3 linked regions of the Macaca mulatta genome follow. The protein of the gene in region 1 purifies or fractionates together with the protein of each later gene. This does not show direct contact. Links are inferred from orthologs where the notes say so. Each region holds a gene or a part of one and is shown in the gene's direction. Other genes may lie near its edges.

Region 1 (4,293 bases):
CTAAAAACCCCTGCGGGAAAAATAAAGATTTCTTTCCCAGAGTCCTGCGCTGCTTTGCAAGTCGGATTCCGGCAGACACGATCTGCAGCCCGATAATGACACAGTCTTTGGAAGGAGCGACTGTTCTCGCCCCGCTCGCTCCAAGTTCTGGGGACGCCTGGCTGCCCGCGCCGTGCCCCGACGGGCCGGTGTCCGACCCCGGCCGGAGCTGCCAGGCCAGCGGCGCCCTCGCCCCGGGCCCTCCCCCCAATCCGTCGGCCCCGCTGCGGTCTGCAAACATTTCCTGCCCCCACCCCCACCAGGAGCTTCCCAGTTGGAGAGAGTTGGTCGCGCAGCCGGCTCAGTGCTCGCAGTTGCCCCAACTCAGCTCGCCCGGCGCTGGGGAGCGGCCCCGTCTGGTTGCGGAGCAGGCTATCGGGGAAACCCAAGCGCCAGCACCAGTGGGGAGTCTATCGGTAAGCCTAGAGCTCGGGCGAGGAGGGGGACAACTGGCGGGGTGCCCGAGGCCCTGCTCCCTTCCCCGTCGTTACCTGCTCGCTTGCGGGGGTGTCCCGGGGCTGCCGGCCTCTCCCGCCGCTGTCTCCCCACGCAGTTGCCCATGCTGGCTCCTCAGCCAGTCCCCATGCACCGGAGGCGGCGAGGTGGTCGGCTGCTCCGCGCTCCTGCCCCGGACGGCGGCGTCCCGGGTCAACGGCTCCGGCCGCCCGGCATCTGGCGCTCCCCGATCTCCCCCCGGGGGCGCGCTCAGCCCCGGCGCTGGCTCCGCCAAAACTTTGCGGGCCAGGGGAGAGAGGGAGGTGGCAGACTCCCTAGCACAGTCCCAGGTGGCCGGGCCAGGGGGGCCCGCGACGGTGCCCGGCCGGAGACCAGCTCCGCTGGAGGGGCGGAGAGAGGGGGCGGGCACCGCCGCAGCTACTCCCGGTCGCTCGGGGCTCCAGGCAGGGGCCGGCCCCCTGGAGCCTGTCACTCACCTGCCTAACCCCGCCCCAGGCCGGCCCCGCTCCCCACCGCCGGCTCGCGGTGCCCGCGCCGCCGCCACCACCCGCCCCAGGTGCGCATGTGACCGACAGCACCGCCCCCTCGGGCTGGGCCTGATTTTCTCATTGGCTTCCCCCGTGGTGCGTACCGCCCCTCTCCCCACCCAGCCAGGTGCCCGCCCCGCCGCCCGTCTCCCGGGGAGCCGGGCCGGGAATTATTCGCCCTCAATGGCCTCCGGCTGCGTGCCCAGCAGCCGCCTTCCCTCTCGGTGCCGCCGCCCCATTCCAGGCCCCGCCCCTCCCTGGAACTGCCTGGCTAGAAGCCGGTAGGCACGTGACCCGGTGCGCCCCGCCCCCTTGGCCTTCTCCCCGCGATTGCCTCGGGAGGCGCATGCGCGGAGAGGCCCGTCTCTTGCCACCGCCCATATCCCCTCCCACGGTCTCTTGTTCGCGTCATGGCCGCCGCCGCGGCTCTGGAGGCGGCGGCGCCTACGGGCGCCCTATGGGGCCTCGTGCACGACTTCGTCATGGGTCAACAAGAGGGCCCCGCTGACCAGGTGGCTGCAGGTACGGCAGACGGCGCCGCGCGCCTTCCGCATGGGGGCCAACAGGAGGGAGCGGCCTCGGTACAGGCGCCGGGCGGGAAAGGAGGAGCGGGTGACTTTGAGAGATTGGTCTCAAGGCTGGTTAGTGAGCACCGCGAGCTTCAGAGCCGTAACAAGTTGGAGAGTTGCCTGTGTCTTCCTTAAAACCATTTACACTTTTCATCTCCCTATAGCCAATTATAGGGAATTATTACATTTTACAGATGAGGAAACTGAGGCTCAGCGAGGGCAAGAGGACTTGCGCAGGGCTGCAGACAAGGCAGGAGGGGGAGCTGGGACTCGGACCCAGGCGTTCACGTCCGAACCGGGTGCTCAAGCCACGAAGCCACGCTGTTTGTGGGAGGTTGACGTGTGGAGGTGCATCCTCGCAGCGTCCGCTCCCGTCGCGTGGCATCCTGGGAGTGGCGGATGGCCCCGCGCTCTGACTGGCTGGAATTAAGAGGAGGCGAGGAGTCGGGCCAGGAGGAGCTGGAGATGTTCTGGGTGTCCTCCTTAAGACTTTCTCTCCGTTTCTTGCCAAAGTTCTTGATTAGTTTGCTCCATGACGTTTTATGTGGCGTTTGTTTTTATCTTCTTCCCAGACCCCCACTTGCCTGCTTTTGACAAGTTCAGAGATCTCTTAGTTCAGACAGCTTATCTAAAATTAGAATAAAACAATTTCCAGGCTTCCGTGGAGTTCTGAGACTTTGCTCTTCTAGGAAAAAAAAGTCTACTAAAAAGTTATTGAATGTTAGGAAGGCTTCAGATCTTGGGTTTAAGTAACAATATAAAATTGTCTAATGGGTAGTTTAAAAAATTTTGGAAATTTCGCATGCTTGGAGAGAAGTAAGGACACATTTCTCTTGCAAACTGAGCGTATTAACCTTTAGAATGTGTAAGAAAAGAATAGTGAATCTGCTGGAAATAAAATACTTTGTTCGTTAGCAGTATTCCACTTTGATTCAGTCATGCCACTATTGTTGAACACATATTATTTCCCAAACATGATGCAAAGCCTAAGGAATATAAATACAAATTAGGTTAGATCTGTGCCCACCGGAAACTTATAGTATGCTGGGAGAGGCAACTATTCTATAAGAGGGATGTGCAGGGTAATTTGGAAGCATCAAGGAGCAAATACCTGGTGCTGCCACCAAACAACATCTTACAATTTTATGAAATGTAGTGTGTTACCAGTGTTTACAATTTACAAGTACAGTGTCTTAATAATGTCGTTTTCCCTCATGTTTTATTATGAAAATTTTCAAATATCCAGCCAAGTATAAAGAATTTTATAAGGAATACATCACTTAGGATCTATCCTACCATTAACATTTTAATATTACTTGCTTTATCATACAGCTATCCATCTATTTAAATTGCAGATACCTGTACACTTTCCTTTAAATACTTTGGCATGGATATCATTGACTAGAGTTTGTTGACGGTTTATTTTGGTGTAAAATGTATATTCAATGAAATATATAAATCTTTAAGTGTACATTCCCTGATTTTGACTAATGCGTATACCTATACAATCCATCCCCCTACCAAGATACAGAACATTACTATATCAGTGTCATTTGTGATGAGTCTTTCACATTTATGCAATATGAAAACAATAATTACTGATTTTTTGGATTCAGAACATATTTTGAAAAAATATCTTGAATGTCTTATCTTGAATAAGGACTTCTAAATTCTTCTCTTTTTTTTTTTTTTTTTTTTTTGAGACAAGGTCCCGCTCTGTCTGCCAGGCTGGAGTGCAGTGGTGAAATCATGGCTCACTGTAGCCTCGACCTATGCTCAAGCAATCCTCCTGCCTCAGCCTCCCGGAGTAGCTGGGACAACAGGGCTTGTGCCACTGCGCTCGGCTAATTTTTGTATTGTAGTGACAAGGTTTCACCATGTTGCATAGCTTGGTCTCTAACTCCAGGACTGAAGCCATCCTCCCATCTCAGCCTCCCGAAGTGCTGGAATCACAGGCATGAGCCACTGGGACTGCTTAATTCTTACAAATGTTTTTGCAAAATTTATATTTTTGTTTCTTTCCGAAAAAAATGGTCTAAACTGTTTAGTTTGAATTCAGCTCAGCTGATCTAAGACTGTAACACTAACCCTGTTGTAATTTAGCCCTCTTAAGAAAGTTGGTGCTGGGCACGGTGGCTCATGCCTGTAATGCCAACACTTCGAGAGGCCAAAGTAGGCAGATCGCTTGAGCCCAGGAGTTTGAGACCAGCCTGGCCAACATGGTGAAACCCCGTCTCTACCGAAAATGCAAAAATTAGCCAGGCGTGGTGGTGCATGCCTGTAATCCCAGCTACTCAGGAGGCTGAGGCTGGAGAATCGCTTGAGCCTGGGAGGTGGAGGCTGCAGTGAGCAGAAATCACGCCCCTGTACTCCAGCCTGGGCGACAGAGCAAGACTTCCGTCTCAAAAAAAGAAAAGAAAAGAAAGTTGATACAGAGGAACAGTAACAGATAAAAGTTGAAAAGGTTTGGTGGGGTTGGATTCTGCATAACTTTGGATTCCAGGCAGAGGGATTTGAATGACCTATTACATGTGCTAAGAGTTGTTGTAGATCCTTAAGCAAGGGAGCCATAAAATGAAAACGAATTTGACAAGGATTAAGTTAATATTGTCAGTCTTAGATCACAGCCCTAGTTAGGGTTGTTGAAGGATAACAGAGTGTTGAAGCATTTATAGAAATAAGATGTGCTTTCTAATCCTTCA
Region 2 (3,646 bases), on another chromosome or scaffold:
CGAAGAGCTGAAGAAGGTTCTAGATGCTAACAAAGTAAGTGGTGGGCGGCCAGAGGACTCTGCTTTAACCTGAAATCCACCCCAGCAGCCGAGGCATTTTGCCAAGGGCAGCTTGTGTGGTGCCGCCTGCAGGTGGCACCTGCCTTTCTGAGGCTTGGGATCTCGGTGATTTACCTGTCAGTTGGTGCCAGTGGTGAACGTGTCAGGCCCGGAACTTCAGGTTCTAAATATACATCAAAATGACACCCTTGCCGGGCGCAGTGGCTTGCGCCTGTAATCCCAGCACTTTGGGAGGCTGAGGCGGGTGGATCACCTGAGGTCAGGAGTTCAACACCACCCTGGCCAACATGGCAAAACCCCGTCTCTACTAAAAATACAAGAATTAGCCAGGTACGGTGGTGCACACCTGTAATCCCAGCTACTCGGGAGGCTGAGGCCGGAGAATCACTGACAGAAGTTGCAGTGAGCCAAGATCATGCCATTGCACTCCAGCCTGGGTGACAGAGCGAGACTCCATCAAAAAAAAAATGATATCCTTGGCCAGGCACAGTGGTTCACACCTGTAATCCCACCTACCCAGGAGGCTAAGGCAGGAGAATCCCTTGAACCTGGGAGGCAGAGGTTGCCGTGAGCTCTGATCACAGCACTGCACTCCAGCCTGGGCAATAGAGCAAGACTCTGTGTGGGGGAAAAAAAAAAAAAAGACACTCTTGATAGAGCTGGCATGCCCTCTCCACAGCCGACGGCATCTCACCGGGCAGCTCTGGGCACCAGGAATCAGCATAAGGCCGGCAGAGTAAGCAGCGTCTTCCCCTTGCTTTGCAGATGGCGGCGCCCAGTCAGCAGAGGCTGGTTGTAGTCTCAGTCTCGCCACAGTCTAGAGCATCGCTGGCTGCACGGTTTCAGCTGAATCCTACAGACACTGCCAGGAAATTAACCTCATTCTTTAAAAAAATAGGTAGGCTTTGAACCTGGGGTAACACTGCCACTCCACACCAAGGGGGCGTCTGAGTGAGCCCAGGCTCCTCGTGCCTCTGAGTCACTGACATGCCACCCAGCCCTGAACTTCAGTGCTACAGAAACTTTATTCCCTCTGTGACCTCAGCCTGAAGTTTTGATTTGACATTTGAGAGCAGTGCCTTCTCACAGAAATCGTCTGCATTCTGACTGTGCACTTTCTGTGAGTTGGGGCTGACCAACTCCTTGTACTTTTTAGCTGATGATATTAAGGCACTCTCTCCGGGGCTCCGCTGGGTTCAGCTAAGGCCAGCTTCGGCGGACTTCGGTTGTGTGCCTGGAGCTGGGCTTGGGTGTCTTGAGAGGCCCCAGCTAACCAGGCTCCTATGCCCGGTGGCTCACTGGGAATGAAGGGGCTGGACCTCATGGCTGCTGTGTGCCTTTCATGGGTAACCGCCACGTCCAGTCCCTTCGTTCCCAGTGAGGCAGGACTGTGTGCTTTGTACCCGGCAGACTGCCTGTCATCCAACTGTGTCCCGGGTCCCTCACATTGGAAACCTGTTGACACTGGCAGGTGCCCCGTGGCTCTTGTCTGACCCACACCCACGTCCAGTTGGTGTCTGAGCAGTGCTCTGGCACTGGGAGCCTGACCTGGTGTCTCAGGGGAAACCTGGCCTGGGGCAGCCCGTGGTTCTCCAGGTGGAAGGTGTGGGTTTCGTCCCCACGGGAATAGGAAGCAAGTTCAAAGATTTTTACTTACAGATCACGGGCAGGTGGGGCACAGTGAGTCCGAAGGCCGTCTTCCGACCATGGGTTACACGAGGCAGGAATGACAGGTCAGGCAGAGACAGAGGGACCCACGTGCTGGTGCCTCTGCTGGTGTCCAGGGCACGATCAGGCAGGTTTACCAAGCAGTTCTAATTGCTGGGCTTGGAGCCGGCGGGCCTGTCCCAGGAGTCCTGCCGTGTGTGAGGGGCGGCCACTGTGGCAGGTCTGCACACTCAGGGTCCGAGGGGCCAGTCCAGCAGGCCACGTCCAGCTGTGCCCTAGGGAGGGTCACCGGGAGCAGTGCACGTGGCAGTTCCCTGGACCAGCCTTGCTAAGGAGCTGGGAGGGTGGAGGACTGAGCTGCCGAGCGGCTGCCCTGCCTCTGGGGTGGGAAAGCAAGCCCTGCATTCGCAGGGGATGCCGAGGCAACGCGGCTTAAGGAGGTCCCCACGGTGGGGCCGGGGCTTTGGCACGGGAAGCGGGTGCCACACACGTCCCCCAGCAGCACCACGGTGGTCCACACACAGGCGTGTACTCGCGTGGGCGTCCCGCGCGGGGCTAGCCAGGCACCCACCTTCACCTTCCAGGGGTGCACTTTGTCTTTGACACCGCCTTCTCAAGGCACTTCAGCCTCCTGGAGAGCCAGAGAGAGTTTGTGCGGCGATTCCGAGGACAGGCCGACTGCAGACAGGCCCTGCCCCTGCTGGCCTCCGCCTGCCCAGGTGTGCTCATGGTGCGGGCGGTGTGAGAGTCAAGTTCGAGTTAAGTTAAAATGTGACATGATATGGACACGGATGACAAAGCGGGGGATAGGGGGTGGAGACGCAAGCCGGTTTCGCAGGACGGGTTAGAAATGTTGGCACAAATGGCCTTTTGTGGAGAAGGGGCTGCCCTCCCTTGGGAGCCACCCACAGTCACCTCAGGTCCCTAGGCGGTGTTGCGTGCACGCCGAGCTCCACGTGGTGGTGGGAAGAACAGGAACGAGCACTCTTTAATGTCATCATGATCTCCCATATGAGCGGACCCGCCTCCAGAATGTCGTGCTGCTGCCTGTGGGTGCGGGGGCCGCCGTGCGCCCCCGCCAGCCCCGTGTGCCCCTGTCGCCTCAGGCTGGATCTGCTATGCCGAGAAGACGCACGGCAGCTTCATCCTCCCCTACATCAGCACCGCCCGGTCCCCGCAGCAGGTCATGGGCTCCCTGGTCAAGGACTTCTTCGCCCAGCAGCAGGTAACGGCGTTGGGCCGCCCCAGGCTCAGGCTGGGGAGCGGCCAGACGTGATTATTCTGGCTGTTTGCCGCGAAGCCGCAGGAAACAGTCCTCGCCTTGGTGTGTGGCCTTCCCGAGCACACCTCCACCCTTGTTCCCTCCTAGTTCAGGCCACTCCTCTCCTGCTGGGCAGCACAGGGCCACGTTCCGATCCACAGCTGCTCACTGCTCACACAGAAACAGCCAGGCCTGGGGCTGAGGGAGCAGGAGGCCCTCGGGCAGCCCCGGCCACCAGATCCACAGGGTGCCCAGCACGACCCCCACCTGAGGCCCCGCGGGATTGAAGCCTGACGACACTCAGCCAGTGGGGGGCGGGACTGAAGCCTGACGACACTCAGCCATTGAGGGTGGCCCTGGTGGTGCCTGGGCCCGGAGTGCCCATGTCCCCTACAGCACCTCCCGCCCGAAAACACGGATTTTCACCTGGGGCTGGGGCTGGTTGGTTCCCCTGTGACATCCCTTTCCCCGGCTGGTGTGCAGCGAGAGGGCCTGAGCTGTGGGAAGGCCACTTCTCCTCCTCCTTTGGACTTGGCTGTTAGGGAGTGCAGGCACACTGGGAACGGGTCAGTGTCGTTTTCTGTCGCAGCCAGGGCCTGTCCTATCCAGGGGCACATCCGCAGAGCCAGCAGGAGGCTTCCTGGGAAAGGGAGTGAG
Region 3 (3,646 bases), on another chromosome or scaffold:
GACCAAATGGTTTATACAGTAAGATACCGTTGTGGCCAGCAGCTAGCGATTGAAGCACCTGTGGATGCAGATTTGGTCAGCACTGTTCCAGAATCTGCTACACCTGCTGCTCTTGCTTATGCAGGAAAGGTATTTTCTCTTAATTAACATGCAGTGAATTGCTCTCCTAGCTGTGGAATAAGAAATCCTTGCCTATAAAGAGAAACTCATCAACATTTCTAAGGAGAAAGGAAGGTTTGGTGGTTAATGTTGGTTTGTTTACAAGCGTTATTTATTTTCCAGGCTTTTTACCCAATGGCACTATTTTAGTGAAAACCACTAAAAGGTTCACTGAAAAGAAAAAACGTTCACTAAAGGGTTCAGAAATTTGCCCCCCTCTTTTTAAAAAGATAACATCATGAATATACAGTTGACCCTTGAACAATTTGGGGGTTAAAGGTGCCAGCCCTCTGCACAGTCAAATCTGTGTATACATTTTAATGCCCCCAAACTTAACTGATAACCTACTGTTGACTGGAAGCCTGATCAATAACATAAACAGTTGATTAACATATTTTGTGTATATATTATATACTGTATTCTTGCAATAACTTAAGCTAGAGAAAAGTAAATGCTTTGAAGAAAATCATAAGGAGGAGAAAATATATTTACTATTCCTTAAGTAAAAATGGATCTTCATAAAGGTCTTCATCCTCATTGTTGTCTTCACGTTGAGTAGGCTGAGGAGGGAAGAGGAAAAGAAGGGGCTGGTCTTGCTGTCTAAGGGTTGGCAGAGATGGAAGAAAATCCACCTATAAGTAGACTCATGCACTTCAAACCCATGCTGTTCATCAACTGTATATTGACTTCAGTGGAAAAATTTACTTAATATTAAAATAAACATCTTGAATCATCTTCGCAAGTCACTGGAATATTTGCTTGCTACTAAGTATGGGTAATAATAAAGCTGTTTATGTTCATTTAGCATAATGTTGTCAGTGTTATGCTTTATTTTCATAACCAGGTAGATTGTGTAACTATAGTAATCCTGGGGTATAACATCCAATATTCACTACCTTGGATACTTCATTAGCTTCTAAAATAATTAATATGCATACATTTTATAAAAGATTACCTTGATAAATGGGTTAATTACCTCCTATCCCTAAAAAGTATCTCATTAGTCTACTGGTTTTAATTTATTTAATTCATTTCTTTAAAAATTATTTTGGGCCGGGCGCGGTGGCTCAAGCCTGTAATCCCAGCGCTTTGGGAGGCCGAGGCGGGTGGATCACGAGGTCAGGAGATCGAGACCATCCTGGCTAACATGGTGAAACCCCGTCTCTACTAAAAATACAAAAAACTAGCCGGGCGTGGTGGCGGGCGCCTATAGTCCCAGCTACTCGGAGGCTGAGGCAGGAGAATGGCGTGAACCCGGGAGGCGGAGCTTGCAGTGAGCCGAGATCGCGGCCACTGCGCTCCAGCCTGGGCGACAGAGCAAGTCCGTCTCAAAAAAATAAAAATAAAAATTATCATTTTGAATAATGAATTTTTCTGACAGTGATTTAATCTTTGTCATGTCTTCATATGCTTAGTGTTATCTTTCAAAACAGGAATAATGTTTAAGACAAAAACATTATGAGTCCTCACAAAATGAATTGGTTTTTCCACCAAGTATATTTTGTTTAGTGGTTTTTCTTTTTGCCTTTTCTCCAAATAATAAAGGAAAATAATTTTGAAATTTCACTTGAATATTCTGGTGGCAACACAATCTAGAGAACTAATATTTGCCTGTTCTGTATATTGCTCCTCATTGTCCTTTCATTTCTTCTCTATCAGTGTGGACTTCCATATGTGGAGGTGCTGTGTAAAAACCGATATGTAGGGAGAACCTTCATTCAGCCAAACATGAGGTTAAGACAACTTGGTGTTGCAAAAAAATTTGGAGTATTGTCAGACAACTTTAAAGGCAAAAGAATTGTTCTTGTAGATGATTCAATTGTGAGAGGCAATACCATCTCACCTATAATAAAACTGCTCAAAGAATCTGGTGCAAAAGAGGTGAGTAATATTAAAACATATCCCAAAGCATCAGTTAACAATAAGATACTGGCATAAAATTGCAATTCAGGGTAGTGAATCAAAATGGATGTTCAATATAATAAATTAACTTTTTTATATCAGTTTGATTTAGGATTAACTGTGTAGCAACTTGGAGAACATGTAACAGCCACACTTTAAATGTAATCCTTAATAGATTAAAAAGCTCAATATAAAAGCTTAAGGCTGGGTGAGGTAGCTCATGCCTGTAATCCCAGGAGCCTGAGGCAGGAGGGTTGCTTGAGCCCAGGAGTTCGAGGACAGCCTGGGCAATATAGTGAGACCCTGTCTCTACAAAAATAAAAGATAATAGTAAAATTAAATTTAAAAAAATTAAATTAAATTTTAAAAAACCTAAAATTTTAACAAAAAGACTATACAAAATAGGCTGGACACAGCGACTTATGCCTATAATTCCAGCACTTTGGGAGGCTGAGGTGGGCAGATTGCTTGAGTCTAGTAGTTCAAGACCAGCCTGGGTGACATAGTGAAACTCGCCTCTCCTAAAATTACAAAAAATGGGTGGGGCGTGGTGGCACACACCTAAAATTCCAGCTACTTAGGAGGCTGAGGTGGGAGGATGGCTTGAGCCTGGGAGGTGGAGATTGCAGTGAGCCGAACCAATCTCAAAAAAAAAGTCTAAAAGCACAAAATAGAATGCTCTTTAAAATCAGTGGAGTAGTGATTGCTTTCTCTACTTGAAGACATGCAGCCAATTCCAGTGTAATACCTTTGACTTAATATTTTTTAAAATTTCTTTGTTAAAGACAGTGTCTGGCTCTGTTGCCTAGGCTGGAGTGCTATGGCACCATCTCAACTCACTGCAACCTCTGCTTCTGGGGCTCAAGCAATCCTCCCACCTTAGCCTTCTCAGTTTCTGGGACTATAGGCATGCGTCATTGCAGTCAGGCTAATTTTTGTATTTTTAGTAGAGACGGGGTTTCACCATGTTTCCCAGGCTGGTCTTGAGCTCCTGGGCTCAAGTAATCCACCTGCCTTGGCCTCCCAAGGTGTTAGGATTACAGGCATGAGCCACCGTGCCCAGCCAAGTTATTTTTTAATATCACTTTACGTCTTTTGTTTTTTCCTTGATACTGGGACTCAATGTGTCACCTGGTTGGAATGCAGTGGTTCGATCTCACCTCACTGCAACCTCTACCTCCTGGGCTCAAGCAGTCCTCCCACTTCAGCCTCCCAAATAGCTGGGACCATAGGCACACACCACCATGCCCGGCTAATTTTTTGTATTTTCAGTAGAGGCAGTGTTTCGCCATGTTGCCCATGCTGATCTCAAACTCCTGAGCTCAGGCCATCCGCCTGTCTCAGCCTCCCAAGGTGCTTGGATTACAGGTGTGAGCCACCACACCTGGCCTCACTTTATGTCTTGAAAAAATTTTTTTTTAATTTTTATTATTTAAATTGATAAATGTATATATTCATTGTGTACAACATGTTTTTATATAGATATACTAAGTTATTTTAAGATTTCAAAGCTTATTCTATTTCATAGCTCATACTACAGAAGTGAGATGCCATTTACAACTAATAGTTGAGTAAATTTAAAAAT

The links.
Region 2: the proteins of MMS19 (region 1) and CIAO3 purify together in Homo sapiens (affinity purification with mass spectrometry; 3 studies listed by BioGRID and IntAct, with this or other methods). This does not show direct contact. The link is inferred for Macaca mulatta from reciprocal best matches to the Homo sapiens genes MMS19 and CIAO3.
Region 3: the proteins of MMS19 (region 1) and PPAT purify together in Homo sapiens (affinity purification with mass spectrometry; 3 studies listed by BioGRID and IntAct, with this or other methods). This does not show direct contact. The link is inferred for Macaca mulatta from reciprocal best matches to the Homo sapiens genes MMS19 and PPAT.

The regions. Positions count from the first base shown.
Region 1 is NC_133414.1:109,546,188-109,550,480, reverse strand, and holds the start of MMS19 (MMS19 nucleotide excision repair protein homolog), read left to right. Parts: upstream 1-1,415; 5' UTR 1,416-1,432; coding exon 1,433-1,544; intron 1,545-3,269; exon of another isoform or gene 3,270-3,332; intron 3,333-3,937; exon of another isoform or gene 3,938-4,293. Other genes in the region: UBTD1 (ubiquitin domain-containing protein 1), read right to left, coding at 531-600. UniProt on the Homo sapiens protein: Key component of the cytosolic iron-sulfur protein assembly (CIA) complex, a multiprotein complex that mediates the incorporation of iron-sulfur cluster into apoproteins specifically involved in DNA metabolism and genomic integrity.
Region 2 is NC_133425.1:1,950,332-1,953,977, reverse strand, and holds part of CIAO3 (cytosolic Fe-S cluster assembly factor NARFL), read left to right. Parts: coding exon 1-34; intron 35-825; coding exon 826-958; intron 959-2,312; coding exon 2,313-2,447; intron 2,448-2,834; coding exon 2,835-2,953; intron 2,954-3,646.
Region 3 is NC_133410.1:77,082,042-77,085,687, forward strand, and holds part of PPAT (amidophosphoribosyltransferase), read left to right. Parts: intron 1-1; coding exon 2-129; intron 130-1,818; coding exon 1,819-2,040; intron 2,041-3,646. UniProt on the Homo sapiens protein: Catalyzes the formation of phosphoribosylamine from phosphoribosylpyrophosphate (PRPP) and glutamine.